Linked DNA regions of Alligator mississippiensis. The protein of the gene in region 2 interacts with the protein of the main gene of each other region in a biochemical or structural test. Links are inferred from orthologs where the notes say so. Each region holds a gene or a part of one and is shown on either strand. Other genes may lie near its edges. The genes, in order: ATRIP and ATR.

The links.
Region 1: the proteins of ATR (region 2) and ATRIP form a complex in vitro, tested with the Homo sapiens proteins (4 studies listed by BioGRID and IntAct, with this or other methods). The link is inferred for Alligator mississippiensis from reciprocal best matches to the Homo sapiens genes ATR and ATRIP.

Annotation. Positions count from the first base shown.
Region 1 is NC_081835.1:37,253,106-37,269,177, reverse strand, and holds the start of ATRIP (ATR-interacting protein), read right to left. Parts: upstream 6,510-16,072; 5' UTR 6,102-6,509; coding exon 5,687-6,101; intron 4,038-5,686; coding exon 3,952-4,037; intron 1,554-3,951; coding exon 1,383-1,553; intron 691-1,382; coding exon 575-690; intron 1-574. UniProt on the Homo sapiens protein: Required for checkpoint signaling after DNA damage. Required for ATR expression, possibly by stabilizing the protein.
Region 2 is NC_081830.1:56,491,934-56,507,327, forward strand, and holds the start of ATR (serine/threonine-protein kinase ATR), read right to left. Parts: upstream 7,835-15,394; 5' UTR 7,787-7,834; coding exon 7,728-7,786; intron 7,503-7,727; coding exon 7,411-7,502; intron 2,693-7,410; coding exon 2,549-2,692; intron 1,384-2,548; coding exon 494-1,383; intron 1-493. UniProt on the Homo sapiens protein: Serine/threonine protein kinase which activates checkpoint signaling upon genotoxic stresses such as ionizing radiation (IR), ultraviolet light (UV), or DNA replication stalling, thereby acting as a DNA damage sensor.

The DNA.
Region 1 (16,072 bases), on a different chromosome or scaffold from region 2:
AGCCAAATTATTATTTGAATAAACTTAAAACAAGTTTTTAAAAATTTTAAAACCCCTAAAATTCACAGTTAAAACTAGATAATGTTTTGCTAGTTCTTTAGTTTTGAAACAGCTGCTAACTATAACAAGGCTTTATGCTTTTCAGATTTCAGTATGCCCATTCATACTTGTAGTAGATTTGAAATGTTGGCACCATAGTGGTGCAGGAAATGTATGAGGCAAGGATTTTTAATGACATCTGTTATTGGACAAACTATATAGCTGGGAGAGCTGTTAGACAATCTTTCATCAAGTACCCCTCCTCAGGTCAATAAACACATCACTATAAATCCTTGCCTCTCTTACATACCTGCTCACTTGAGGTATTTGTTATGCACTGATAAGAGAGAGACTGTTGCAGTGTTATCATCATCATCATTATTATTAACAACTTTTGCATCTGAAGAGAGCCATGGATTCTCCATCTGCATGAGTCTCCTGATGTCAATGGTGTTACACCAGCAGTAATTTCCCATAACATTCACTCTATTTAAATAACACACAAGTTTTCTACCTTACAAAAACTACTCAATACCTGACAGTTGAAACTGACGAAGCAACAGACTTAATCCTTTCACAGTTCTGAAGCTTTGTCCTCAATTCATTCATTTCAGCATCTTTAAACTGCAATTGTGATTGCAAGGACTGTAACTGAAAAAAATAAAATGAGACTCATCTTACAATAAACACCACACAACTTGGAAGAATGACATATTCCAAATATCTATGGTATTCCAAGACAACAATGCAACTAACTGCAATCTATGAAAAAAAAAAAATCCGTCAAACCTCTCCTATACAATTCAAAGTGACAGTTATATAAGGGCATATGTAGTACAGAAAATATCAGAATAATAAAGCAGGTTCACCATGACGGTTATAAGCAACAACTGTCACCAAGTGAGACTGCTTCAGTAAGGACCTTACTCATGGAGTAAACAGCAGCCACTATCACCACCACCTTCTGCAGGGCACTGGAGAAAAACTGAGAACGTAAGAAACAGAAATTGGATAATAGAATCATAGATTCTGTGCTCTTAAATTTTTCCATTATAAGGCTGCCATTCTGGGTGCCCACATTAATCACTTAAGTTTTGCTCATGTACAGTGTAGTTTCACTCAGAAAAACCTCCCCTTTTTCACATAATTCAGTGATCTAGTTTTAGCTATAAATAATTTTGCAGTATAAAGAACATGTACCGGATTAGAGGAAAAGTTAGTCTACATGTCCTTCCCTTGACTTCACAATGACTGTGGCTTCAGCAACATATTAAGTAATCAGTAAAGAAAACAGCTTTTCCATGCAAACTGTTAGATAGCTGAAGCAGTTGTCCTTCACAGACCTTTTTGGAAAACTCTCTCTCTTTTTCGTTCAGGGTCTGGGTTTTCTCCTTTTCCAGTAACATATTTGATCTTCTCTGTTCCTCCATGGTAGACTCCAACTGCTGCATTGAGTCCCGCAAAACTTTAATTTCTCCATTTTTAAAAATGATTTCATCCTGCATTTCTTTCAGCTGCAAATATCAAACACACTCTATTACAGCATACCTTTAAGAAACATGGATGTATACCACTATGGATTAATTAAGTCAAAAAAGGGTCATCCCAGAAGGCTGCAACATCAAAACATTATGAACAGGAGACATTAGTATAGCCTATTTAAAATTCCTGGTGAAAAACCTCTTACACTGTTCAGATAAGCCAAACTGCTATTTCAGTACAGCTTCTAACTATCAAGCCCAAACTCAGTCTATGTTAGTAGATCTTGAAAATGACTAGTCACTAGGTCAGGGGAAGGCAAAATACGGCCCACAGAATGCATCTGGCCCACCAGGCACTTTCACTCAGCCCATGGCGCCCCCCAATGAATTGTGCTCCATCCTTGTGAGCAGAAGGGCCTGGCTTGGCGAGCAGCAGCTTCTGGGCAGGGCTCCTGCTGCAGCTGCTCCATGGGAACATGCTTGGCTTCCCAGATGCCCAGCTCACTGGGTAGCAGGTAGGGAAGTGGCAGGGCCGGGCAAGGGTGAGGAGAGGTGGAGTGGCAGCTGGATGGAAGCACAGAGCACAATGTGGAGCTCAGCTAGGCAGTGTGGGTGTGAGGTAGAGTGGGGGTTGTAGGGACACCCCCACACACACTCCCCCACTACTGGCAGCGGCAGCAGGTGGGGGAGGGGGTTCAGGGTGCTCATGCGCAGCACAGGTGTTAGCACCCGGCATGGCATAGCTCCAGCTAGCACTGCGCGCAAGGGCAAGGAGTGCAGCCTGCCCAGCTGCTCTGCGCTATGTGCCTGCAGCTCCCCCAACTGGCACTGGGGGTAGCCGCGTGCTAGAGCTGGCTGCTTTCTCTGCAACCTGCTGCACAGGTCCTTGGACTCCTCTGGGAGTGGAAGGAGTATTGCCCCTTGTTTCCCCACAGAGTCCAGTGCAGGGCTTCCCCAGTGCGAGTGCAGAAGCTGCAGGTGTACCATGCTGAGCCAGAGGCAGCTGGACAGGCTGCGCTAATGGACCCCATGCACGTAGCGCTGGCTGGAGCCATGCTCCACTGGGTGCCAGCCTGTGCCAGGTATGAGCATCCTCAGCCCACTCCCCACCCCCCATCCGCCTGCTGCTGCTGGCAGCATGGGCTGCATGCCATGGGATGTTCCCACACCCCACAAACCTCACACACCCACACCCTACCCCCACTGACATATACATACACCCAAATATACTCTATGTCCCCCACACAAATCCCCCTACACCCTCCATCTTACCACACACACACACAATGTAAGAGCGAGACTTTATTTCTGAGTTACTATGCAATCCCTTCTATATACATTACACAAACACAAATCATAGCAAATATTTTTTGTAATAAAATTAAAATATGTTATAGCAGGTGTTTGACTTCTAGTGTATGGTTTGGTTTCTTTCTGATTCCAAGATAGTACCACCCCCACCGTCCCAAAAGGAGTACTGGGGGGGGGGAGGGGAAAGAGGTAACAGGATGGATTTCCAGTGGCAAAGGTCAGGAGTTAGGGGGTGAGACCTTTGCTCCCAATATGGCAACCAGGGGGTGGGACAATTGTTAAGGGATGGGGCTACCCATGCAGCCCCTGACAACTCATCAAAACTTGTTAAGCAGCCCTCCAGCCAAAAAATTGCCCACCCCTGTACTAGGTCTATCAAAACACAGACTGGGTCCCCCTGACACCTCTTATACTCTTCTCAGATTATTCTTCCCCCTGTAATAATATGTCTTTCCTTGGTTAAGCATTCAATGCACAAAGGGAAATGTAGTTTATATCCTCTGCTGGGTTCATCCTGCCCTAGTAACATGCAGATAGCTGCAATAAGGCAGTCAAGCAGCTCTCATCAACTCATCTTAGAACAGACACAGCAAGTAGTGCACTGTCCCAAGAATTATGCTACATAGGGAGTCTCATGGCAATTACCATGCATCCACTTCTGACTCACATTCTCTCTCAAACATATAATGAGGTAAATACACAGACAAATTTATGGCATCAGATCATGGCATTGATCTCAAGCCCTGAACTTAAGCAAAACAGATATTTTCTGAATGACAAGGGACAGGTAAGAAATATGGATTTAATGGGAAACAACATAACAGAGCTGCCAACTAATATTTGATTCTCTGTTTTCTACTGTAAAAGGGCTGGACTGAAACTCATGATTAATTAGTGCCTTGTAGTTTCATGTTATATCGGAAACTCAAGATATTGATACCTCTCAGCACAATTTGGCTCCAATGTATTTTACAAAGGGTGGCCCTTCTACCCTTGTGAATAATGTAATGAAATTAAAAAGATCTTCAGTTAAAACTTAAAGAAGACTCAAAACTACTTTAAAAATGCTGTACTGAATGGTACAAAAAACAATTAGGAAAAAGAAAGAAAAGTATCTAACCTTTTCCTTAAGGTTTTCATGTTGTGTTTGCAGTACTTCAAATTGAAATGTGTCTTTAACCAGAATATCTTCTGTGCCATTTCCTACTGAAAAAGAGGAAGTAATACTAATTTCACTCTGAAGTAATATAGGTTATAAAATGTTAATATCACAATATTTTTATATTCATCATCATACATATTAATATTTTAGTCCTGAAGTTCATACTTACAGTTTCCATGGTTACTTTACTAAAACATGCATATAGGCTCACAAGAACACACAGAAATACTGGAAGTTGTAAAATTAAATCAGATTTTGAAATTGTTTCTTTTGCTATTTATACCACAATATACTTTATCAAATACAACAAAAGATGTCTAGAAACAAAAGTGTGTATATACTATCTCACTTTCAGCTGCATGTGTCTGTAATCCAAACACACAATAAGTGTGTGAATAGATTGTGTGAAAGCCTGATTCCACCAGATTTCTAAATTCATGCAGTCATTTCTCTTGGTTTTACTTTTGTTAAAATTTTTTCCCCTGATCTCACCATGAAATACACTATACCCAAATGTTGAACCAAATTCAATAGATATGATCTTTTGGATAGGTAGCCCATATTCCTACCACAGAGAAAAAACTCAGAATACCAAATATTCTCTATGGTCTTCCTCCACCCCATTTAAAATATGAAGTGGATGCAAATTTAGGCTGTAAACCTGCAACTAGATGCATGCACTACCACAGGATCTATTTACAAGACACAAGGATTGAGAAACTACATTAAAAATGCAAGTATGCAATCCAATTAAGGTCATTTTGCCTAGCAACTTCAAACTAGCCTTCTTCAGCTGTAACTAGTCAGTCATTTACCATACAGTTATTCGTTGCACATTTCAATGCTGTTTACTAAGTCCAACAAAAACTATACACACAGAACAAATAAAACATAACCAGGCAGCACAGTTGTCAGGAAGAGGGATGGAGAAAGATGAAGCACAGACCAGCATGCTGCTGCTCAGAGAGATGCCCTAAAACCTGTCATATCTGGGTTGAACAGTCAAGAACACAGATTCTTCTAGTCCTCCCTGAAATACTTTACCTACAGAAAAAAATAAGAGGAATTCAAGGTACTGTACCTACTTTGAAAGGATGAAGGGCTGATTTAACACTTGCACAGCACCCCCAGGCACCCTTGAAATTATCTCAAGACACCTTTGTAGAGAATTACTGGCTTAATTCCTTAGATGGAAGACGTTACATACACAAAGCAGGTACTTATTATAGTAAAGCATTACCATGCCACACACACTTGGCATAATGGCTTCCCTCAAGCTTTTTTCTTTACGTCACAGCATGACTGAACCATACATTTTGTAGTGCTTTCTATCTAGCCGATTGTTTACTTGCAGGCGACAACTCCAAAAATTGTACCATCGAGTTACCCAAACACACACACAAAGAAAGAGAAAGCACCGGAAGAGATTTCCCAACCGATGAAAAACATTTTTCCCTTGTGTCCTGATATTTAAGAACGGCTTCATTGATTTAAATGAAACTGTCAACAGTAACATTTACTACTGAGCTGAAATTAAAGAATGAGACTATTCCACGGCCTATTTCCTTTCAGACACCTTCAGTAGCCCAGCTAGAATGGATTTATCAGCTCTGCCTTATCACCCCACGTCTGGGAACGAAGACGTGGGGTGCCAATTGCCCCGCCACAGGCCCACGTACTGGCTTGCACATACCAAGCCCGGCTTTGGCATTTTGTTCAGCGCTGGAAGCATCGTTCCACGGTCTAACGTTCACAGACTTCTGATGGATGATGTTTAGCATTAAGGACGGCCTGACATCCTGCTCCGGTTTCTTAACGTTTGTACTAGGAAGGGTATTTGAGTCCCGGCCTTGTGACAGTGCCTGGGAGGCAATTATATCAATTTCTTCCAAGTCAGCAGCAGTGAAGTCATCATTATCACCAAAGAGATCTTCTGCCTTCTGGGCCATCCCCACATCAACACTTTTGTAGCGCTTGTTGGGTGGGAAGCCGACCCCGGCGGTAGCCCCCTGCCAGGTGGAAGGTGACGAGAGAACCTGCGTCGGATCCACCCCGTAGAGGAAGGCGCCGCTCCGCTTCTTGTTTCCAGACGAGCGGCTCAAGGCCATGCTGTCCCGGCACCTGCCTGCAGAGCCAACGCTCGGCGCAGCCTGCCACAGACGCGGAGCCGCAGGACAAGGGCCGCTGAGCGTCGGGCAGCGGCCGCGCCGCAGGAGCCCGGCGGGGCCCAGCCTCGCAGACTGGACGGGGCTCAGAGTGCTGGCTCCTGCCAGTCGGGACAGGTAGCCCGGGATGCGTCGTGTGCGCCCTCGGCCAAGTCACGGCCCCTCCGCAGGCAGACGGTCGGGGAGCGCTGCTCCCCTGGAGCAGAACCAGCCACCGCTGCCAGCACTGGAGCAGCTTCCCGACCCGCGCAATACGCGAGACCCGCCAGCCAGCACAGCCAATCGGCGACCATTTCTTCTCGTTGACCAATCAGAGAAGCCCCAGGCAGAATCACTCCGGCCGGGACCTGCAGAGGTCAAACAACAGCAGTCTGGGAAATGTTAGTAATAAAAGTCTTTACGATTGGCAGTTAGAAGCGGCTTTGTGAGGCTGTCCCTGATTGGCAACGGCATCTCATGAAAGGAAGCGAGGCTTCCAGCACTTTTTGGCGCCCTTAAGCGCTGCGCCAGATGGGCCGGGCCGGGCCGGGCCGCGCCGCGCCGCGCCGCTTGTGGTTTAAGCACGGAGCTCTTATACCCCAGCAGCCGCGGCACGGCGGCCTGCCCCTGGCGAAGCCTCCGCTCGCAGCCTCTTTCGTATGAGCTATGGTAGCTTATGTGAGTTGGGCAATGCCGGGCGCTGCCGTGTCGCCTTCTGCAGAGGGGCGGGTGGGCCTCGGCCTCTGCTTCTCTTGTGGGCCCGGGACTGCCAGGTGCACTGGCCGGTGCATACTCGGGACCGGGCAAAGCCTGAGCTGGGGGTGTATGTGCTGAAGCTGGGCTGCATTTAAATCATGAGCAGTGGCCTGAAAAAGAATAAGAATCTGTTTATCAAGCCCCTAGTGCTAGGCTGGGCCAGGAATGAACTGTTTTTTTGTGAGAAGTGTAACAGGAGCAAGGAAGAACCAGCGATGTTTTGCCTTGTGATGATGATGGAGTTGTTTGTAGTCTGCTGGAATCCTCCTGCAATAACAATATGTCTTTGTGACCCTGTTGTTAGCCTCAGCTGCTTTCAAGGGACTTATGCTAGGTTGCAGAAGTGTGGCTAAAGGAGGCCACAAAGCTTCTCTAGGATTGGATGTCTGCAGAGGTTTCAACTGGCATAGTCAGCAAAGTAAAAGAGCACAAGGTGGCAAGTAGTGCTCCCACATGATGAGAGAGAGACCAGAAGTTGTCTCCCAAAACTGCACCTCTTACAGGGACCCAGACCCCAGCTAGTTGGCATCTTCCAAGTCCACACAATAACACCAGCCAGAATATTTAAATGAGCAATGTATACATATTGGGTATAAACAGAAATTTTAGGAAAGACCTCAGCAAGTTCAAGACTGCCTGCTGCAAGCCTGCATGGCACCTTCCTCTTCCTCCCGGCATCTCCCCCCAGTATAGAAGATAAGGCTATTGTGCAGTTGCAGGTAGGTAGATAGGCATAGAGATAATTGCTTACCTTATGCTTTGGGGTGTAATGAATAAAAGGTTGGATTATAGAAGCATCTGTTGTCTCTTGTTCTAACTAGGGTGGTAGTAATACCATACCTGGTAAAAAGGAATGTGAGATAATTGGGAAGTCAGATTGTATCTTGATTTGGTATAAAAAAAGGTAATCTCTAAGGGACTTGTAACTGTTCCTGAATTCTGTGTCTAAGCTTGTAAAGAAGTCCTGATCATAGACGGGCTGTAGTCTCGTCTCTCTCAAACAATCAAACAGTACTGGGTTTTTGATAACAATCTGCTTTCTTCCTTACACCTCCCGGCAGCCTTCAAAGGATTTGGTGGCATCACAAAGTGTCCCAGTCCCCTGTTTGAGAATCACTGCCTTAGCAGGTAACATCACAGCCTAAGCAATATCATGGTGCTGTGACAGCTAATTTAGCAGAGCACATTGGAATGTCCTGCCATTGTGTCCTGATGTTTCAGTACCATGATGTAGTGTCATGATACTGCATTGCCTTGGTACAATACAGTAATGAATGGCAATGTTGCAGTGACACCATAGGTGCCGAGTACATTGGGGCCCAAGGGCCCTGGCCCCCATTGAGAAGAGGGTAGGGTAACCGCCCATCCCTAATTGGGCAGGACAGTCCTGAAATGGGAACATCAAGTCCCAGTCCTCAGCTACATGACTCAGGGGCAGCATTTATCCCAGATTCCCAGTATTGTACAGGGATCTGAGTTTTCATTTCACTGTGGAAAAACATGGAAAACAGCAGGTTTTCCCTTGCAGGCTGGCAGAGTTCCAGCCTGCGGGGGGCTGTGGGGTGAGACTCAAGGGGGTCCACATGCATGTGACCAGGAATACAGCCCCAGGCAACAGTGGAGAGCAGCTTCCCCCAGCTGCCTGCGGGGAAGTCTGTGGGGTGGGAGTGGAACAGACTGAGGCCCCCACAGTGAGGGAGGGGCTGGGCGTAGGGGAACTGCCTGGCCAGGGGTGTTGTCCAGCCAGGGCAATACCTGGGGCCTGGGGCAGGGAGTGAGAGAGCCAGGGGTGGCTCATCACTGGGGAGAAAGGGGTGCTTTCTGCTGCTGATGCACTCCTGAGGAAGGAAGAATGTGGGGGGCACATACCCCCCCAGATTTGTGCATGAGGCAGGGGTGGATGCAGCCTGGCCGCTGCAGCTTTGGGGCTCCCGCCCTACTGCCTTCCCCCCAGGAGCCCCACACTGGCCACACCACTGTGGTGAGGCACCCCCTGCCTGCCCAGCAGCAGCAGCCAAAGTAGTGGCACAGAGTTGTGCCCCCTGGTGCTGATGAGCTGGCAGGGGGCACCTCGTCATGTTGGTGCGGCTGGCATGGAGCTCCTGTGAGGAAGGCAGCAGGGTGGGCAGCTGCAAGCTGACAGTGGGCCGTCCTCATCTGTCCCTGGTCCCCCACAGACTGCTCACCTCTGCTTCAGCCATGCCATTATGGGAGAGGGAGCATCATCTTAAGCCCCTGCCTAGCAAAAATAAAAGTTGGAGCCTAGGAATGTCACAATAGTTAGTATTTTGAGTATTTGTTGACCAGTGTCTTGTGTCAACTCATTTTGTGGTGGGATGCACTTAACAGTATACTTCAGTGGTAAGTGTGCAGTGAAGGGTACACCATTGTTGTTATTGTATAATTTTCTATAAGTATGATTTCACACCATGAATGACACAGTGGTGTAATGGTGGAAATCGGGGCTTGGCTCATTTAGTTGTATGTTAAGTAGGTCAGCAGATGACCTTTATCTGACCCACCCTCAAGAGGCCCTGGAATATGCTGTGGGCACACCCATGTGCCGTTTGTAGAGCCCTGGCGTGCCAGGTGCACTACCCTTATAAAGGGCTTTAATGGACAGAAATGGTGTGAGGTGTGTGTGTGTGTGTGTGTGTGATTGGAGTCTGACTGAGTGTTTTGGACTGAAAGAAGTCAGGGTGCTTGTTGGCAGGAAAGAGAGAGAGAGAGAGAGAGAGAGAGAGAGACACACACGGAGAGGCTGAGTGACGGATCCACTGTGTGAGCCGCGGAGGTTCCTGGGCCCAGTCGCCATGGGAGATCCTTTGTTTGCTACCAGAGCAGAAAGGGTTGGCTCCCCAGGCTCTTCCCTCCAGGTGTGTAAGTAGCAGCCCTCTGCTCTGATCCGTAATCATTACCCTATTCTGTTCTTCTCTTCTGGGTTATTGGGGTTCTTCTTGGTGCGTGTCTGAAGAAGATTAGAAGCCACTGCCTGAGGTGCAGTCATCTCTACCCCAGTGACCGGAGCAGAACTAAATAAAGTTCCCCTGTCCCTTATAATAAAGTTTAGTCCTTTTTATTGTCGTTGTTGTGATAAGATATTGTTGGGTTAGGATTTGTATAGAAGACTAAGTATATTTCTGTGACTAACCTGTTCTTGTTAGTTTTATAATAAACTGTCTTGTTTGTATACTTTTAACAATTCTCTGAGTTATTTATTTAATAAAAGTGGTGATTAGATATGCTTTGGGCAAAGAACTACCCCACCTTTCAGAGGGTTAATTGACAGAGAACCGCTGTTTGGGCAGGGTTAGATAATTGGAGACTAAATTGATAATTAACTCCCAACAGTAGGATGTTTGTCATTAACTGTAATTAATTATTTATATTCCTATTGAACCAGTTATGGACCAGGACCCCATCCTAGGTGCTGTATGAATTGCACCTGTATTATCTTGCATTTCTAGTAATTTCCTCTGCTGCCTTTGCAATTCTCTACAGTGATTTAGAGGCCTATACATGTTAGGCTTTCCATCTCAACAGCCTCTATCAAACATGATTAGTACGTGTGCCCCAAGGTTCTGAGATGGGTATCCCTGTCCATTTGTCACCCCCCAAACCCTCAAGGTACCTGTGGTGACCTCCAAAGTGTCCTTGGGGATGATCCTCATTTGTGCTGTTCTGGGACTCTCTCCTTTCTTTTTCATGTCTTGCAATCTCTGAATTGTCAACCATACACCTTAGCACCCACACCACACCAGCCCTTGGGATTCTCCCTGGATAGTTGAGGGTTGGTTAGAGAGTGTTGGACCATGGTGGTCTCCCAGTTGCTGATGATCCAAACAATCTTCCCTATTTTGCAGTCCTCCACCTCTTTCAAAGACACAACCCTCTTAAGTGATGGCCAAGCACTGTACGCTGCATTGGGAAATAGCCCATCATGCTATGCTCTCCTACTGCTGGAGAAGATAGTGCTGTCTTGACCTTGTCAACTGTAATGGCAATGTGACTTACATGACATGATCACACCCCGGAGAAAGGCAATACTTTTCAGTGCCAGAGCAAAGTTGCATTAGTACATCCTGAAGAAGTTGGAGTACCTCACTGGAAACTAGGTGATGATAAGATGTTAAAATAGACTCCTTCCTGGAGTGACAGTCTGGTGGTGGAAGTGGTGAGGCAGGAGTAGTTGTGCTCCCATAGCCAGTAAGAAGGAATGATACTTTTCTAGGATTCCCTCAGTTGTTTCTCCTGAATAGACAAAATATTCCTTTTTCACAGCCCTTTCATGAATGAACTGAATAGCTTCTAAATGCTGGGAGCTAGAAGGTAGGGGTGTCAAACTTGTTTGCCCCCCACCAAGCCAGAGCTGAACTGTGGGACTCCTTGTGAGCTGGATCCAGCTGGTGGTGAACCAAGGAGCTGCGGGGGTTAACATACCCTCTCTGCTGTCATGCACCCATGATGCTAAAGGATCACTAAAGCATAATCAACCCAGAGCAAACACAGAATATGTCTCACACCATTCAACTTAACTAAGATCTAACTTTATTAATGCATTAAATGTACTAATAGTTTCTACACAGAGACAGAAAAATACTTAGTTCAGTGGTGTCTCAGAATCCCAGATGTTATTCCACTTCACAAAAAGGTGGCCAATCAGTTCCTGAAAGTAGAGGCTGGTCATCTATGGGTACTGACTGTTTTTTAGTCCAGATGTTGTTGGACAACAACACACACCCAACTTCCTTGTCCCATGTAAAAGGGAATCCTAGCCCTGTTACTAGGAGGCAGGGCTGCCCCTTTAAGACCTGAGTCTATAGGAACACCAAGCACCAGGAGGGTAGGGGTTAATAGCCCAACCACCTAAACTGGTCAGCGGACAGGAAGGGGATAGACCTCTGGGCACATATAAACCCCAAGGCCAAGGCTGACAGAAGGAAGTCTCTGGCAAGTAGCCAAGGGAAGAGAGCTCCTGCATGGCAGAACTATCCAGGAATGTGTGGCTGCTGGCTGAACTGTTGCTATGGTAATGAGGCTCCAGGACTCTACAACGTACCCAGAGCTGGGAGGTACTCAATACTCAAGGGGCAGTTTGGGGGTTTTAAGGAGCCAGAATATGGCTTGTAGGACTTCTATTATGTCCTAATGTGTCCAGGGGGCATAGAGACAGGGAAGACTCCACTGCCAAGGGGCACACTGACAGGGGGTGGGCAGACCCCAGCACCAGGGGGGTGCAGCACCAAGGGGCGTGGCAACAGGGATCGAGCAGACCCAGAGCCCTAGGGCCCAGGTCAACATTTATATACCATCTGTGAGGTGTGGGCCACTGTGTAGGGGAGGTCTGGAGCACTGGATATTGACCCCTAGGGTTGGGGTAGTAAATGGGCATCCTCCCACCTAAGTAACATCATAATTATTGTTCCATCAAGGCATGGCAGGTGAGAGGGGGGTGGGTAGCCTAGGGACAGAGGGCTAGGCCTATGTTAGACAGGCCCAGGGATGGACCTCATCACACCCCCCTTTTACGCTTTTTCTTTAACTTGACTCCTCTGATGACTCTTCATTTCCAGGTAACATTGATTGGTTTCCCTGTGATCATCCTACTGTTCATGTTTTTATCCTGTCAGCATATTCCTTTGTCCCAACAAACCCATCATATGCACATATCTTAATTTGGTCTTTTACCAGTGTCTTAATTCGGGCATGCCCTGGACTCGTAATTCGGTCTGTCTATCAACTCCAGAAATCCCAGGGGCTCTGCAGTTGGGTACTCTCCAATTGGTCCCCCCTTATCACCTTTCATTAACATATCCAATCATGTCATCCCTCTATTTTAGTTGGTTAGTGCCAAGTTTAGTTAGTCTGAGCTAGTAACAAGGCTCATAATATACACACCTATGTTGATAACTCTGGAACATAAGCTGCCTGTAAAAGCAAGATCAAGGGTAGCTGATAGTACTAACATGAGCAAAAGAAAAGCTCAAATAATAATGAGGTTATACAGAAACTTAAGCAATGGCTAAATAAAGCTGAATATAAAAGAAAAGTTCAAATAATACTATAATTAACTATTCAAGCAGGTTCAACTAAAGCTAAATATGACAAGCTACCCTAACACTGTACCCCAAAATTCATTGGCCAGCCCTGCCTCCCCTCATGCTTACCCCATCCACAAATTCCTGTCCCCTCCAGGAGCTCTTTGGGCTAGATGACACAGCTCCATGCCTGGATCTGGCCTGTGGGCCATGTTTAACACCCCTGATGTAAGCAAAGCAGGGCAAGTAACATCTCAGTCCAGATAGGCCCTGCATATATACTCTTCCCCCTTAGCAATCCACTCTCTGACACTGAAGAACAGGGAACTAGGCTAGATGGACCTGTGGTCTGTCCCTGTATGGTAAAACAACTACACATTTGGATAAGTGCACTTTTGTAAGTAGGGATTTACCAAAATGACAATCTTGCAATTTTCACAGAAACCACGATTTCAGGCAGGCCCTACAAAAAAGCACAGCATTGCTGCGTACAAAAAAAATAAAAATAAAACAGTTGCAAGTAGAGAAAAGAGTGGGAAACCCTTGTGCCCTGAAGCATGGGGTGGGAGGGAAGAGGAGGGAGAGGGAAAAAACAGAGGCTGAGCCCCTGATGTAGGCTCAGTTCAGGAGCCAATCAGATGAAGCGGGAGGGTTTTGATGCCAGCTGTTAAAGTGCCCACAGTTATGCTCCTGCAGCATGCATACTCCTGTCTGAGGAGGATTCTTATTCAGCTTGTCTGCTAAAAAGAAATCCTCTAAGATGGCCAACTACATTTCAGCACCGAACCTTTCAAGGCAGTATCCTGCAGGGACCTTGCACATAGATGGAGACAGATTCTTCTGTACCTCCTGCAATGTAATTTTGGATGTGTCCAGGAAAACCAGCATATTTCAGCACTTGGAGTCCAAGGCACACATGAAAAGGAAGGCTGCTACAGAGGCTGAATGTCAGAGCAAGAAGCTAGAGACTATGTCCTCCCTGTTTAAAAGGACCACAGAAAGCATCTTGGCAAGGTGAGAGGTGCTTTCAGAACCACTCTAATTAAAGTGTCCTCACCCCTTGCTCCCAAAGCACATCTATAAACTCCCATAGAAAATTAGGGTAGGAAGGGAACTCAGGAGGTCACCAATCCAACCTCCTAACTCAAAGCAGGACCATCCCCAACTAGATCATCCAAGCCAATGCTTTGTCTAGCTGGGCCTTAAAAATCTCCAAGGATGGAGAGTCTACAACCCCTCCAGGTAACCTGTTTCAGTGTTTTACTATCCTCCTAGTAAGAAAGTTTTTCCTAATAACTAACCTAAACTTCCTCTGATGGGCTCCAAGGAATGCTACTGAACGCTGGTTATGTCATCTGCAATGTGCACACTCTGTCTTTAATAAGTGACATCTGGTGCACGCAGTTCCCCGAGGTGGATAGCCTGGTATATTCTTTCAGGAAAGCTTTCAAGCCCTGTTCAGGTCATAAGGTCTGGTACAAGGAGTCCATCACCAGTCAAAGTGAGGACTCACATGACACTGTGCTGCTGCCACCAGAGCCTGTGTTCACACAGTGCAATTCATGTTTCAACACAGTCCATTACCACACCAAGCACATGGAGTACTACCAGCAGTTTGAGAGTGAGGAGCTGTAAATCACACCCAGCACACAGTGCATGCTTAAGCTTCGCAATCTCTTAAGATGAGGCAACTTTTAAGATCAAGTGATGTTTGTGGCTGACAATGCCATGTGGTTAATGAAGCTACTGATGTGGTTTGAAGGCCAGCAGGCTGTGATCCACCACACACAGAGGGGGATGGATTTGATAAACTGGGTTGAAGATGGCATTGCAAGAATTGTCCAGCTGTCCTCATAAAAACTAGTGCAGAAGGGATCTGTTCCAGGCACGAGCTGTGAGGCTGAATCAGTACTATAGGTACAACCCATCACTGCCACAACAGTTCAGAAAACCAGCTGCACCCTTCCTTAGTGATGTTCACATTTTGGACACCAACCAGGTGTCTGCTAAGTTTTGACCATCATCTACTGAAAGCAACCCCGAGATGGGGGAAACAACATGGCAATGAACATGCTGCTTATGTAAACTTCATCAAAGATGCCTGTGTCCATGCTATGTTCTGGGACTCTGACCAGTTTCCATATCTTTATGCCCTGGCAAGACACTGCCTTACCATTCCAATGAACTTGGTGGACACTGAGCATGCCATCTCAGTGTATGGACAAGTATTCACCCCACAGAGACAGAGAATGTCTGCAGCTACTGTGTCTGTGTGCAGCATATTCACATTTAATACACAGCATGAGCTGCCTGCCTCAAGGTTAGCATTCAGTTTCAGCAAACTCCTTTTATAATGTCCTTGTTTAAAGTGTATATTGTTGGTATTAGTTAATAAAGTGTACGTAGTTGTTATTACTTGCAATTCACAGTGTACATTTCTTTATTTTATTAAGATACTGTATTTCATTTTAGATCTTAATTGCTTAGAATTCTTAATAATGCATCAATTAATGGCTTCTGCAGGCCTAATTGCCTGATCAAACCCACAGAAGCCATTAACTGATGTGTTATTAAAGATTTTAAATGACCATTAATGGCTTCCATGGGCTTGATCAAACCTGCAGAAGCTATTAATGACCACTAAGATTGCTTAATAACACATCAAGGGCTTCCACAGACTTAATCAGGGGATTAAGCCTGTGGAAGCCATTAATTGACATTATTAGCAAGTGATGGTTTGGGGCCCTCTGGCCATCTGCAGGGAGGGGCAGGATTTCCAGGGTTCCTTGGCCAATCAGAGGTGGGGAGGGGGAACACTGTGCTTGGCCTGTGAAAATGACTGCCTAGCCCCAGTCTCCCCATGAGTTATGCCAGCAGCTGCCTCGATTTTGGTAGATCCCTTCTTATAAGGGAGAAAATGTGCTTGAAAGTATAATCTGTGCCTTACATGAAAGTAACAAATCAAGCCCTATGTTACCATCCTTAGTAGAAGCTATAATAAATCTTTTTGAGATCAGATGAAGAGTACCTATTTCAATGATTCAACTGAAAGTAAGGCCTTTCTTAATTTTCCCCAGTTCTTCAAACTGTATATGGCATGGACAGATATAGGGCCAAATCCAATTGCCCTTACTAGTAGAC
Region 2 (15,394 bases):
CTGCAGAGAAGCACTGATAGTTCGCTCCCATTCCTGCCTCCCCTGGGCTACTCCCTGCATGCATCTGGATTTTGGAAACATTTCAGGCATTATGTTTGTCCATACCCACAACCTTAGATGACCTCCTATCTATTTTTACAGCACCTAAAATGTGCTACACAATTTAAAATACAGACAGTACACTGTAAATTCTTCAAGTCAAGTACAATCTTGTGCCTCAGTTCTATATGCTATATGGGAAGACCTCTCCATTTGCATGGAGACCTATGAGCTCTATGAGACACCCCCTACACACGAAGTGCAAAACTTCATATAGAAGTTATACAAAGAGAACTATTAGAAAGAAAATAATGCATGCTTTATTCCTAACCCAACTCACTACCCCAGATGCATTTCTGAAATGGCTAGCATCTAGATAATCTCCCTTGCACAGATTCTGTACACTCATGTATCATAATGACAAAAGGAAAAGTAGTTTTTCAAATTAACCTACCTCTTGATCTACCTGACTTCCAAGTACATCAACAAAAATTGTGCATATGGTGCCAATATGGGCCTTTCTATCTTGTAAAGCAGATTCATATCCAGCTGGCACAAACTTCAGAAAATATTGCAGTATATGACACAAAGCATCTTTCAGCTTTTCAGACTGGATGTATCTGAGCACATTTGCTTCAAACAATGCACAAAGCTTCTCTAGGAGTATATATAGGTAGATGGGTTCAATTCTTCTATAGGAATCTGCTTCCAAGAGGAACAATGTCCTCACCAAGAGCAGCAAAGGTTCTTCAAAGAGTTCTAAATTTTCAACATCTGTTTCAAGTATTGACTGCAACAATCCAAAGAAGGCCATAAAGAAGGCACTGGCAAGCTGTTCTGGAGGTCCTCCTAGTTGTATTAATTTTACTAAAAAGATCAGGGATAGGGATTTAATTCTTGGACTACCATACTCCAATAGAGAGCAGCCTATTCTCCACAGAATAAGGTCCTGTCTTGCACAAAACAAATCAGGAACAATGTCAGTTAGAATGGTTATTAATGTGAATTCCAAGCATTCAACATTGGGCATGCCCATCAATTGCAATGGGGCTGAGCTTAAATATTCTAAATTATCATTTTTGTTACTTGAAAATCTATTTATTGTTACTGGCCAGACTAACAACCCCCCGTGGAGTTGCCTCTGTCTCTTTCTTTCATGCAAGAAAATTAGATCTTGGAAAAGTTGTAGTAAGTCTCCTGTTAGCACCTCAAAAATGGTACAGCTCTTTGATTTAAAAAGAAAGAGCAAAGAACAGATGACATCACAGATATTCTTGTGTAACGTGTGGCAGTTTGGAGTTGAAGCAAGTCGTAAAAGCCTTGTTATGATCCAATTACTAAATTCTAGGAAGAAAACAAAACAAAAACAATATTGTGATTCATATGCTAAGAAGGTTATGTAAAAACCACTTGGTATAAATGATTCTTCCTTAATTATTGTTTGCTCCTTTAATATGTAACCTTTAAAAATAGAAAAACAAAGAAATATAAGTGGCAGCCTCAGAACACTGTACTATGCTATAAAGAACTCTTGTCCTCGGCATTCATCTCAAACCGCAACTGATGGCTGACCGTTCTTTACAGCACAGGTCCCCTCCTCTATTGTGACTGCTCAAAGTCATTGCCTGCTCTTATGCAAGTGACTAACCTTGTTACCATACATACACCTGTTTCAAACTGTTAATCTGTGTTCCACTCCTTTCCCTCTATCGTAGGCATACAGGGGTTTCCTGATAGCTTTCCCAGGTGAGATTTTTAAAAAGTGTGAAAAGGAAGGCATGAATTCTAACTGAAGAGATTATTTTTTGGTCAGGAGACCTGACCTGCCTTACTTTGTCCTTGGGCTTCCTTGGTCTACCATATTTTATGGTACTTGCCAAAATCCAAAAGAAAAACAGAAAGTTACCATGTCATTTAGGATTCGACCCAGATGGGAGCTGGTTTGTATTTTAATGGTTAAACGATCCAGAAATCTGTCAAAAAATCTGATGAAGAAATCCAAAAATCTGTCCTTGGATATGTACTGACCTATTTTCATTTGCACAAGTCTAACATGTTTACAGTGACAGGCCATCAGAGATTCATTTCACTGACAACATACAGTACAAACACATGAAAGAGAACAGATATGGAGATAAAGGAAGTCTGTGTAATGAGCTGACCTTAATATATGTTAGGCAATGGGTTGGCAACACTTTACGGGGGGTTGCTCTGTTAGAGCTTAGCTCCAGGAGTAGTATTACTTCCAACCCAGGTCACACAACCACCATTGAAACTGCAGTCACCACTCTCTCTTACGGTGCAACCACTGCCATTTCTTCCCACTGCCTGGTTGCCATATGGGCAAAGCCCTGCCATCAACAAAGACCCCCAGCTCCATAGGCCAGATAAAATGGCTCCAAAGCTGTACCCAGCCCATGGGTCATAGGTTGCTGATTCCTGTGTTAGACTACTTCTTGTAATTAAAGTACGCCAAAAAACTCCAAACAAACAAAAAAACCGAACTCACCTATGCAACTGCACTCAGCCTCTGGGAGATTTTCACTTACACTTACAAACATAAGCGGAGAAGATTTCATGATGTGTTGAATAAAATCAAGCAGCATCACAGAACTTGGCAGAGAATCATTTTTCTTAGCAAGTTCCAAAGCAACTTAAAAAAAAAGATAAACATTCCCATTAATACTATACCATAGAAATGTAATTATTTTAATAATTCTTCAGATAAAATAAACACTTTCCTTATGGAAACTTGTATTGTAACCTCTACAAGTCACAACACTTTTTATCTTAGAGGTACCCTGATACATTGGTCCATATCGTATCAGCACCAATAAAAGGAAAATCGATGTTCTCGGCAATTGGCTTTTATTGACTGCTAATGTGCGACTCCAAGTGATGCGAATAAGTGACTTGGTGTGAATGAGTAAGAGTAATTTTTATACAAACTGCTAAATTTGCCTGAGTTATCCATACATTATGCAATAAACCTCGGTTTGCCAAACCCACGTGTTGATCATATAGCCAACACTACCAAGAGGGCTTCGGTTTCTGTGACCACAGTGCACACTTCAGGGAGAGAGGACTCCTGGGAAAGGATGACATCCACCTCACATGGAGAGGTAAGTCCCTGTTCTTGGCCACGATGACCAAGCTTCTAGACAGGGCTTTAGATCAGTGGGACATGGTGAAACACTGGGGAGCGGCACACAAGTAAGCTCCAAAGTTGGGGACACTAGGACAGCCACTCTTCCAAGAGCTGAGGGAATGGTTCTCCCTCAGCATGACAGGAAATCAAGGGTCTCAATTGGAGGACTCAGGTGCCTGTACACTAATGCCAGGAGCATTGGAAACAAGCAGGAAGAGCTAGCCCTCCTACTCTCCAGTGGGCATTATGATCTAGTAGGGATTATGGAGACCTGGTGGGACTTCTCACATGATTGGAACATAGCCATACAGGGCTACAACCTGCACAGAAAGGACTGAGTAGGGAAGAAAGGTGGAGGTGTAGCTGTCTATGTGAGGGAGCAGTACACCTCCTTAGACGCCAACATTGGCTCCAAAGAAGAGCGGCTCAAAACCCTCTTGGTCAAACTACCGGGGGGGTGGGCATGGTAAGAGAGACCTGACTGTTGGTATATACTACAGACCACCAAACCAGGAGGAGGAGCTCAAACTGCAGTTCTCTCAAGAACTGGCAGAGGCCACGCATGCACGGGACATGGCCATTATGGGTGACTGCAATTACCCAGACATCTCTTGGGAGGAGCACTCAGCTAAGTTGGATAAGTCACCTGTATCGAAGAGCTCTACCTGACTCAGGAAGTACACAGGCCAACCAGAGGTAAAACTCTCCTAGATTTGGTCATGGCCAAAGGAGATGATCTGGTGAGTGCCTTGAATATAGAGGGTAACCTGGGTGACAGCGACCACAAACCCATCACATTCACTGTCCATCGCAAGGCAGGCAAATCAGCTAGCAGGGTCAAAGTTTTGGACATCAAAAAAGAACTTCAGCAGGCTCAGGGCAACAGTAGGGGAAGTGCTGCAGGATCAGGGACCGAAGGTGAAAGGAGTGCATGAAGAGTAGTTGTTCCTCAAGGACACAATCCTCGAAGCACACAAGAAGTCCATTCCCATGCAGAGGAAAGGTAGCAGAAGGGTTGGTAAGCCCCCTTGGCTTAATACGGATATCATCATGGTCCTCTTGAAAAAGAAGAAAGAGGCATACAAACAACAGAAGCTTGGGACAGTCTCTAAGGAGGACTATACAACAACGGCCTGCATTTGTAGGAAGCAGGTTAGAAAGTCCAAGGCAGAGACTGAATTTAAACTAGCTACAGAAATCAAGAACAATAAGAAGTCCTTCTTTAGGTATGTAGGGAACAGGAGGAAAACAAATGGAAGTGTGTGACAACTCAGGACAGCTAGTTGCTGACACTCAGGAGAAAATTGAACTCCTGAATCACTACTTTGCTTCAGTATTTCACTGGACTAAGGGGAATATCATACTAGATAAGGTTCAGAATGGGCATGGTGGGAATGACCGCCTTCCTACTGTTGACACTGAGCCGGTACGTGATCAGTCAGAAAAGCTAGACATTTATAAGTCAACAGGACCAAATGAACTTAATCGGAGAGTGCTGAAGGAGCTGGTGGAAGTCATTGCGGGACCTCTGGCGAAACTCTTCCAAAACTCGTGGTGCTCAGGGGAGGTACCTGAAGACTGGAAAAGGGACAATGTTGTGCCCATTTTCAAGAAGGGGAGGAGAGAGGACCCAGGCAACTATAGGCCAATTAGCCTAACTTCTATCCCAAGGAAAATCCTAGAAAAATTCTTCAAGGAGTCTATGTGCAATGGCTTTGTTGTGAGCAGGTCTTGTCTTAACAATCTCATCTCTTTCTACAACCAGGTAACTCGCCACCTAAGTAAAAGAGAGGAGGTTGACACTGTTTACCTAGACTTCCAAAAGGCCTTTGATCTACTTTCCCACAATGGTCTCACAGGGAAATTGGAGGATTATGGGCTTAACTGTTTGACAGTTAGGTGGGTAGGAAGCTGGCTGCGGGGTAAGACCTATAGAGTTCTAATGAATGGATCTGTGTCGCCTCAGTGAGAAGTGGTCAGTGGTGTCCCTCAGGGGTCCGTGCTTGGTCCAGTGTTTTTCAACATCTTTATCAATGATTTGGATGTCGGGGTGACGAGCTCACTGACCAAGTTCGCAGACGACACCAAGTTATTGGGTAGCATGGTCACACTTCAAAATAGGCTGCAGATACAGGCAGACCTAGACAGGCTGGCAAATTGGGCGGATCGGAACCAGATGAAATTAAACTTCGAGAAGTGTAAAGTGCTCCATCTGGGGATGAATAATCCCCAACATACTACTTACAAGCTCGGTGGTGCTCAACTGACTAGCACCCAGAGCTGTCCCTAGGGGTGTGTGGGGCCTGGGGCATATCAGCCTGTGTGGGGGTGCGGTGGAGTGGCTGGACCGCGGAGCAGGCAGCGCGCAGAGGCCGCAGAAGGGCCTGTACAGCAGCCACCCCACTTGCCCACCCCTAGGGACAGCCCTGCTAGCACCACGACTGAAACTATAACTATTATTACCTAGGGGTAATAATAGAACATAGTATAAACATGAGCCATCAGTGTGCTGCTGTAGCCAGCAGGGAAAACAATACTCTGCCATGCATCAACTAGAAATCTTCAAGAGACTGGATAATCACCTCGTTGGGGTCACCTGACCCCAGCTGTCTTTCCTGCCTAATGCAGGGGGGCTGGACCCAATGATCTTGTGAGGTCCCTTCCAGCTCCTAACAATCTATGAATCTATGCCTGCCTGCCCACTCCCTGTATCTCCACTGCTCCCTCCACTGCCTGCCCCATTACTGCACCCCTACCACCTGCCCTACACGTTCCCCTTCACTGTCTGCCCCATTACTGTCGCCTCATTGCCTGTCCCCTTGTCACCTGCAGGGGTGGGGGCGTGAATTTAAGATGATTCCCCAATAATTAGATTCTATACAGGGAAAACTATAATAAATGTATACATTTTCCACAGAGAATTATTGGGGGGTCTCTTAAATTCAAGGTCATTTTGGATTCAGGTAAATATATAACTTGTTGCAGCTCTTGGAGAGGCAGCAGTCACTTGATCCACCACCAAATTTCTAGCTCACAGGCAGCCCCATGGGCCAGATGACAGCTCCCTGCTCTGTATCCAGCATATGGGGTTGGAAATTTGGTATCAAGACAAGCCACAGCAATTAATCTTGCCACTGCTCACTCTTACTAACTTTCTAATTACATGGGACACATGACATGGTTCCACTGATGGCATGTAGCCTGCAGTGGCTCCACTGATGGCATGTAGCCTGCAGGCTGGATCTTTTGACACCTCTGATTTAGCAAGGGCTACAATAAGTTACAACAGCATTCTAAAATTAAAAACTAAAGATGCCAAAATAAGAACTCAATCCTGCAAAATGTTCAAATAAGGAATGGCAGGATTTATTTCTTCAGCGAACAGAGCACATTTATGATGCAGCCTCCTTGCTTTTTAATACATCATTATATGTGTATGTACATATATTCGCACATGCACACATGCAGTGCTGTAGCAAAGGGCTGGAGGCAAATGGGGTGACTGCCCTGGGTGCCAAACCGAAGGGGCGCCAACAGGATGGAGTTGCGAACAGCTCATTTGGGGAGGCGTGGGGACGGGAAAGGGTGGCTCCCCCACCACCGCATGCACTCCCAGACAAACACTGATGAGGGGAACGTGTGTCCCACCCTGCCCCCTGCAAGCTGTGCGAAGGATAAGGGCGAGCTGTTGCTGTGGGTTTGCCCCAGGAGCCAAACTTCCTTGCCACAGCACTGCATACACATGCACAGATGTGCATGTAGATCAGGGGTGGGCAAAATGCAGCCCGCCGGGTCATTTTATCAGGACCACGGGGTCCCTAAAACATTTAGAAAATAAATATTTATCTGCCCCTGGCTGCTTGTCATGTGGCCCTCAATGGCTTGCCAAAACTCAGTAAGCCCTCAGCCCGAAATAATTGCCCACCCTTGATGAAGATCTATGGACACGCACAAGCATATGCACAAGCACAGGCATGTGCAAAAGCATACACAAGTATGCACACATGCAGGCACACACAAGCACTTACACTAGCATTTATTTAGACAGTTGTAGTTCACTCAACTCTACTGGTGTTCCTAGAAACCCTGTCATTATACAAATAAACTGCTTCAGGTCTGCTAAGCCTTTGCTGGGAGAAGACCCACAGGTTTGTTCCCAACCAAGGGAGCTTCGCCCCACTCTCGGCAGCGGGGGGTGCGCCCTGAAGCCCCGTTTCCCTTACCCAGGTCCACATCCGTGAGGATCCTGTCAACGAACTGGCCGAGGATCTGCCTGGGCTTCTGCACCACGCTGGGGTAGTCCTCGGGCCCGGCGCTGCGGGGGAAGAAGGGGCGCGTCAGCACCACCCGGTGCCCGAGCCGGCTTTCAGGCTGGGAAACATCGGTGCCTCCCTGAGCCCGGCCACAGCGCCGCTTCCCCGGCCTGTCCCGCCGCGGACACGGCGCTGCGCTGCTCCGCGCGGGTACCGCTGTGGCCCGGCCGCTCGGGGCGCTCATGGCACAGAGCAGTGGACCCAGGTGCCCGCCCGGCCGCACCTACCTGCCCAGGTCGCGCAGCGCCGGGATCATAGAGGCCATGCCTAGCCCCGGCTCCGCCATCGCGCCCAGCGCGCCACTGCTCGCGGGGGCGGGGGCGGGGCCAGCGCTCGGGACGGCGGCCGGCGCGGACCAACACGCCTCGGTTGGCGCGCTGCACGAGCACAAGCGACTTCCCGTGGGGCAGCGGAGCATCACGAAAGCCACGCGCCAGCTCCGCGCGCGCGCGACGCCGGGGCCGGGGAGTCCGGGCTATGGGCGGGTTGCAGGGCGCCCCGTGGGGGTTTAGGCAGCTCAAGAGGTCCCGGCTGAGCGGGAGCAGGTCCCGGTCACCCCGGGGGCTCTGGGCGGCGCAGCCGGCCCCACGCGCGGCACCGGCCAGAAGTAACTAGGAGGGGCTGGGGCCGGGGCAGCTCCGCACGTGGCAGGGGGGCAGGCTCTCAGCAACTTAAGGCCCGGGGGCTCTAGGTGTCTCAGCAGGTGCCGACAGGCGGCTCCACGCCCAGCCCCGCGAGGGGCGCTGAGCTCCCCACTAGTCCCCGGGAACGCAGGAGCCCTGGTGCCTCCGCATGCGAGGGGCGGGGCGGGGCAGGGGCAGGGCGGTGGGAGCCCCAGGGAGATGAAGGCGGTGCTCGCTGTCCCCATCGCCGCCGGCAGCAGCGGGACCCGGCAGCCCCCGAGCGGCCCGCCCACCCCAGCGCGATTGGCGCTGGCAGCTGCCTGTCCGGGGGATGCGGCGGCGCCCACAGCAGGTGTCTGCTGGATCCCGGCAACTCTTGGTGCAGCCGCCGCCGCCGAAGAGGCTCCGCGGACGGGGCCGGGGCCGGGGCCGGGGCCGGAGCAGCTGCGGGCAGAGGTAGGGACGGGCAGAGGCTGGGCAGCGGGGAGCGGGCTGCGCTTGTCGCCCCTTCACTTGCCTGATGAGATGCGTCCGCGGGGGTTCCCGTGGCGGGGGCAGGATCTTGTGGCACGGATCAACTTCTCCAGTCTCTTCTCTGTGCCCAGGCGGGCGCTGCTCTTCCCGGGAGGCTCTTTTAATGTAGTATGTGCGAAAACTAGAGGCCGCTTTTAAAAAGTGCAGTTCATTCTTCGGAAGACAAGCTGTACTAGGTAAGGCGGGAGAGGGGATAAAGTGCTGGAAAAGCAGTGGCCCAACAGTCCTGTCAGACATCTCCCCCCGACAACCTCCTCCCTCATGCCAGGGGGAAAATTAAAGACACTTTTTATGAAAGGCAGTAGGACATGACTGAGACTGTGAAGCTCTTGCACCTCTTGCCTTTCCGTATGTAAACAGTTTTTCCAGACTTCAGGAAATACACAGAAAACTATTTATTTGTATGTGTCTACTGATGTCTACATATTCTCCTGGATGTTACTGTCTAAAGGGAAGTGACCTGACTTGGGCTTTCTTTATTGAGGAGGGCAGTTGATTGTGTTTGTTTTATGAAGTCTTGCCTGCATTGTTGACAGTGTTGCAGAGAAGCACACACTGAAATAAAATCCTCTCTGTGGCTTCTGTTTCTGGTGCCTGTTTCCACAGCTATGATGCTTTGAATTTTGCATGTAAAACAGATGAGGAAATTGAGCGAGCATGCCTGTGTTCCAGTTATTGAATTGTTAGTGATGGTTACCAGTTCTTTTTTTTTTTTTTATTCAAAAGTGGTTGCACTCAGTTACATGCATGCCTATATTCGTACATCTGAATTTAACTCTCTGTTTGTCGAGTATTTTCAAAGCCCTAGTGATACCATGATAAGGAACTGTGACATTTCAAAAGATTTTGAAACACTTAATTAGGATTAATCTTCATTTGTTTCTCTTTCCTTTTTGCTACTTATTGAACATATTAGATGTTAACTCTTGAGAGCCGCTCCCAGTCAGCAAACAGGAGACGCAGGCTTCATGGTGTCTGCGTTACATAGATTTATAGTCATAGATGTTTGGGTCGGAAGGGACCTTAGCAGATCATTGAGTCCGACCCCTGCCCTGGGCAGAAAAGAGTGCTGGAGTCAGACAACCACAGCCAGGTGTATGTCTAGCCTCCTCTTAAAGACACCTAAGGTAAGGGAGAGCACTACCTCCCTTGAAAGCCATTCCAGTTTTTGCCAACCCTTACCGTAAAGAAGTTCTTCCTGATGTCTAACCTAAATCTGCTCTCCGTCAATTTGTGGCCGTTGTTCCTAGTTAGCTCAAGGGGTGCCCTGGTAACCAGAGCATCTCCTATTCCCTGCTGTCCCCCCCCCCCCCGATGAATTTGTAGGTGGCCACAAGATCACCTCTCAGCCTTCTGTTGTTGAGGTTGAAGACCCAGGGCCCCCAGTTTCTCCTCGTAGGGCTTTGCCTGCAGGCCCCTAACCATGTGAGTGGCCCTCCTCTGACCCCTCTCCAGGTTATCCACATCCCTTTTGAAGTGTGGCACCCAAAACTGGACAGAATACTCCAACTGCAGCCTGACCAATGGCACTTTATGGCATGGGAAGACCAGAAGTCAGAATGAACACGTCTGGAATTACAGTGGCAGATCCTTCATGCACATAGTGCTGCAGAATTTAAACTTTATTTAATTAAAAGTCCAACAGCTTTCTAGCCTTTATATTTGTAAAGAATACAAACTGTCTTGGTAAGTCTGCAGAAAGCAGAAGTAATCACTTATGAATTGTACTGTTGTGCTATACCTGTGACAGACAGACAGTTTTATTTGTCAGTATTGTTAACATTGTAATAGTTGATGGTAACTTTAGGAGAAACTTTAAGCTATCTGGAGATTCCAGGAGTTTGGCCCAGTACTGGGGTTTTTTATTGCTATTCTAATTGTAAACCAAAATGGGAGAATGGCACAAATGTTTTGGGTCATATGATTCTCTTCTCCAAGTACACTATACATGGAATACAATTCAGACACCTAGTCTGTATGGCATAATGCAGTGCTGTACAGGAACCCAAGCTAGCTCTTAAACTTCTAATGATCAAAAGCCTCATTACCACCTTTTTCAAGCCCTATTGGTAAATATGTTTGTGCTTACTTTGCCCGTCTGTTAAAAAATCTCTAAAGGCTACTAATGGCATGAGATCTTGCTTAAGCTGGTACTCAAATTCCAGTGTGGTACCTGAAGTAGAGAAAAATTCTAGAGGTTCCCCATGTCTTTTTACAGGCCCCCAAAAGCCAGACCCATTCCTGCTTCAGTATCCAGTAGAGGGAGCTGTTCAGGGAAAGAAGTATACGTTCTGACTTCCAACAAAAAAAAAACCTTTAAGAATAACCAAGAGCAAACAGACAATGAGCAGGATAATAATTTATTTTGGTCGAGGATAATTTCTTCCATTTTCCTTTGCCACGTTGCTTCCTGCTCCCCTGTTTCCCTTTTCCCAGGTCCTTCTCCTTGTCTTTCCATATAATTTCTCCTTTTCCTACTTTGTCCTATTTTTCACCTTGTTTTGTTTCTTCTTCATTCCATTGTCTCACACTTTTGTGCCCCATGTTCTTTCTTTCTGTCTGAAGAACTATGACCCAAATGGATGCACAAAAGGAGGAAGTGCATTGTGGCTGAACACACAGTTCAAATTTTTCTTCTCCTAGTGAAAATATATCCATTCATATCTGTGTAGTGAGTGTTATCCTTATTGTTTTGTACCTCCCATATGTCCACAACCCTCATCCAGTGTCAGTGTGGATTTGTGCAGGTAGCAAAAACTGTGTGAGATTGGAGAATCAGTGTATGCACAAACGTAAAGCTTCCTGCCAGAATCAACAAGTTGTATACACTAAGAACTGTTCTCTTCCCCCTCATTTCTCATTTGCATAAGGGCCAAAGAGCTGATCCCTTGATCCTCTGTCTTCTATCCCATGCTGTCCTATTGCCCTTCCTGCCGTATGCTTAACAGTATCTTAGAGTGAACTGGGTGACATTTTAATTAAGTTAATTTTGACTTGGAGCAAAAGAGCGACAGCTGGGGTCTACTCTAGTCTAGTCATTTGGTTGTGAGCTGGTTATGAGAGAAACTTGGAGTGTTGATCCACACCAGAATCATTTTCTCGGTTTTGTTAATATGGGTTCAGTGCTGACAAAGGTGGTCCTGAAAAGTGGGCATTCTGGAGCTATATGAAGAGGACCAACCACACCAAGACAGTTGCTGTACTATCACTGCTGCCTTTACCAGAAAATTTTCACTTCTCTTTAAAGTCAGAGTAACTTGGATGTCATTGTTCAAAATGTCAGTCAGGATGGTGGAATGAATAGTCATGCACTGCAATAAGTTAATTTTTATTGATACTAAGGCTGTCCTTATAACTTATTGGTTGTTTGCTCTGGTGCTTTAACTGTACCTGATAGCCTGTATGATAACTGAGGATTTAATTCCATATATGGTCATGAAGGTGCTAACCTAGTTGGCAGAATGGTTGATAGACCTTTGAACACATTGGCTTGGATATTATTCTGTACATCATAAAAATATCTGTTCAAGGAAAACTCAGCTCTTTTTCAGTGCCACCTGGTCTGAGTAGAACAAAGTAACACAGATTTAAATGGCAGAAGGGTTTGATCATTAAAATAAATCCAACTCTTGTAGAATCATTTTGATAATTTAAAACACAATATAATAAATTAAGAATTATTTTGAAGAAATAATTTAAAAAATGTAACTTGAGTAAGCATCTCGACTGGCAAACAGAATGCAGGTTGGTACAAATTCAACTACAGGACAAAATAGAATAGGTAACAGTAAGGAAAATATAAAATATTGAGATCTAGTGAAAGGTGTTTCCTATCCCCTTTACCCTTTACATTCATATGCTGTCTGTATAGGCCTTCATTATGCAAATAGGGACAATCTGTTCTTTAGCATGTTTGTAACTTTGCATGATGAATGCATTAGATTAAATTATTTGGGATTGGATTCTCTCTTACCTATATGGAAAATGCCTAGCACCTGTTTTGGTTTCTATATCATAATTTGAATAACTTAACATTAAAAAAGATGTATAAAGGGTATTTGAATTATAGTAGAAAACATCATGTTTGCAGAAGAATAACAGGCATGCCTAAATCCTGTGAGCCATAGAAAAGGTTTCCATGTTGTCACTTTATAGCTCAGTACAGAAGGCATGATTGGGAAGGAAAAGGCACGGTATCATAGCCTTTCAATACCATAGATCTTATTGGCTTAATGTTCAACTAGGAGCCACATGAAGGTGAGAAATGTATGCAATAGCTATTAGCTATGAATTAGAGGAGTGGATTTCACCTTCCCCGACTTTCTGCATTTCTTCACCATGAAGTCCCAAAGCATGGTCTTTACAGCATTTTTTAAAAGCTATTGAGGAAAATGTTATGCAGGAATGATCACAAATTACAGTATTGTCAAAGGGAATACAAGACCTGGGGCATAGGAGGCATCTTGTTACAATATTGAAAGTGATAAAGTCATTTTAAAGCAATATATTAAATGTGATGTAGAGGTATACAAAGATGTCTTAGCCTTGCCTCATCTCCATATATTTAGCACCCAGATCAGGTATGAGTACATGGTACTCAAACCTACCTTTTTATAGCAGTGACTAATTAAAATATTTTTCACAAAACTCACAAATGCATGTGAAATTCTTTTAATTCTTGACAGTAAAAGTTCATATAAAAAACAGATAGTGCTTAGGTCTAAATAAATGGGTTTATCAAATACAGAACAAAATGGCACTGGGTGGTACCCATATGTAGAATAATTTGATTCCAGAAAACAGAATAACCACAATTATAGGAATTATAGTATCTTGACTTATAATAAGGAACAATTCATTGGACTTAGTACTAAAGAAAGAAATCTGATCAAGTACCCCATGCCACTGGAGTATAAAAGGATTGGGGGAGGCTTAATAAAGCCATCCCTGATGGTATACTATATCATCGTACTATATCATCAGTCTATATCAACCTTGAGGTTCGTCCACTGCACACCCGGCCAATGTTAGATACTTTTTGAAGTAAGGAATTTTGGAAAAGGATATTAGTGGCTCGGGGGGGAGAGGGGTGCAGGAAAAAATAAATATAAAAAAGCAGTAATTAGTGATAGCCAGGTCAAGTTACATATGCATTGGGAGTTGTTCAGTTATTGATATAAACAATTCTGTATAGTGACTATACAACATTGTAATCCGTTACGTCACTTTTATTAAAAGACCTTTTAGATGTAATTCACCTACTTGTATAGAAGGTTGTAGAATCAAACATTTAATAAAGGGGACTTCTCTTTTTCTATCCTCTCCTATAGTTTGTGTGTGATATTATTTATCACTATTTACATAGTTTGATCTTTGATTCATTGACCCAGTTTCATTAAATTTATTAAAACAATCCCTGCATCAGATGCTACCTTTATTTTCTATATACTTGGTTTTGTTATTAATGGTAAATTAAAATTGTTGGATTAGTTCCTGGACTTCGGAGGGTTCTAAATTATTCTACTTGTGTAGATGCTTCTAAAGGGAATCAAGATGATACCTTACAACAGCACATCTGTGAGAGTGCCACAGATTCATTTGCAGCCTTGCTAAACCTCAGTAATATAGTATTAATAAAGCAAACAACGTGTGTATGTCTGTATGATAGGGAGAGGATAACTAATTTTCATATGGCATTCTTTTATATATGTTTTCTTATGGAAGGCAGTTATTAGCCAAGGATGTCACTTCCAGTCTCAAAGTTATCCTAATAATTACTTTAAAATTAGCTAACCCCTTTCTCTTGTTACAGGAATCGATAAATTTCAGATTAGATTTGGAGTCACCCCCTAATAAACCTTTGACTTGAGACACAGCTGTGTTTACCCAGCCTTTATATTATCAGGAAGACTGTATTTGTTTAAATGCTAATTTAAAGGATTTCTGGCACCCTGAGCTGCAGAACTGAGTTGTTTCTGATAAGCAGATTTTAAATAGTTAGCAGGGACTTCATTATGTTTCACAATTTATCTTAGCTGGTCAGTGGCATAGGAAATTTTTTCAGAGTTGCATCCTATAAGTAACTGCTAGCAAAGGGAACTGAGGGTTCCTTTGATGATATCCAGAGCAGGACGAGTTTTCATTTTTAAATGCATCTAATAGGAAAAGCTACAATACTTTCAAGGCTTACAAAAGTGCTTAACGGATCCATGTTTATTCAATACAGTTGTACAAACTGCTAGCCAAATTCTTCACAAAGTTTCTTCTTTGTAATCCAAATCTGGCCCAGTGCTAGTTAGTTGCAAGACTAAATTGCAATTAAAATGTATGATTTTTCTTTGTAAAGAACAATTTCTGGGTTGTTTTTGTAGACTCCTTCCCCATAATTATCATTTGACTGATTGATTTCCCCCCTCCCCCTTCACAGCTGGTGAAAAGCTTGTTACATTGCCAAGTGTTTTTTTCCCCCCAGACTGAATTGTTTGTAGATGTAATCCAGTTATTTTCGTTTTTGTATCAAACTCCTTTTCCTGCTAGTTCTAAAAAGTTCCCTTTTGAGCTCCAATTCTCTCCTCTTTTCCATTTTTTGTGCATCATTCAAAAATACCTCCTTGTAGTAGCCTGCCTCCATATGACAAAGGGATATGATGCCTTTCCTGACATTGCCCAAAGGAGGTCAAGAGAGAAACAGGGTGGCTCTCTAGCAAGGGGATAGTTTCTGCTTCTTCAGTCCTTGC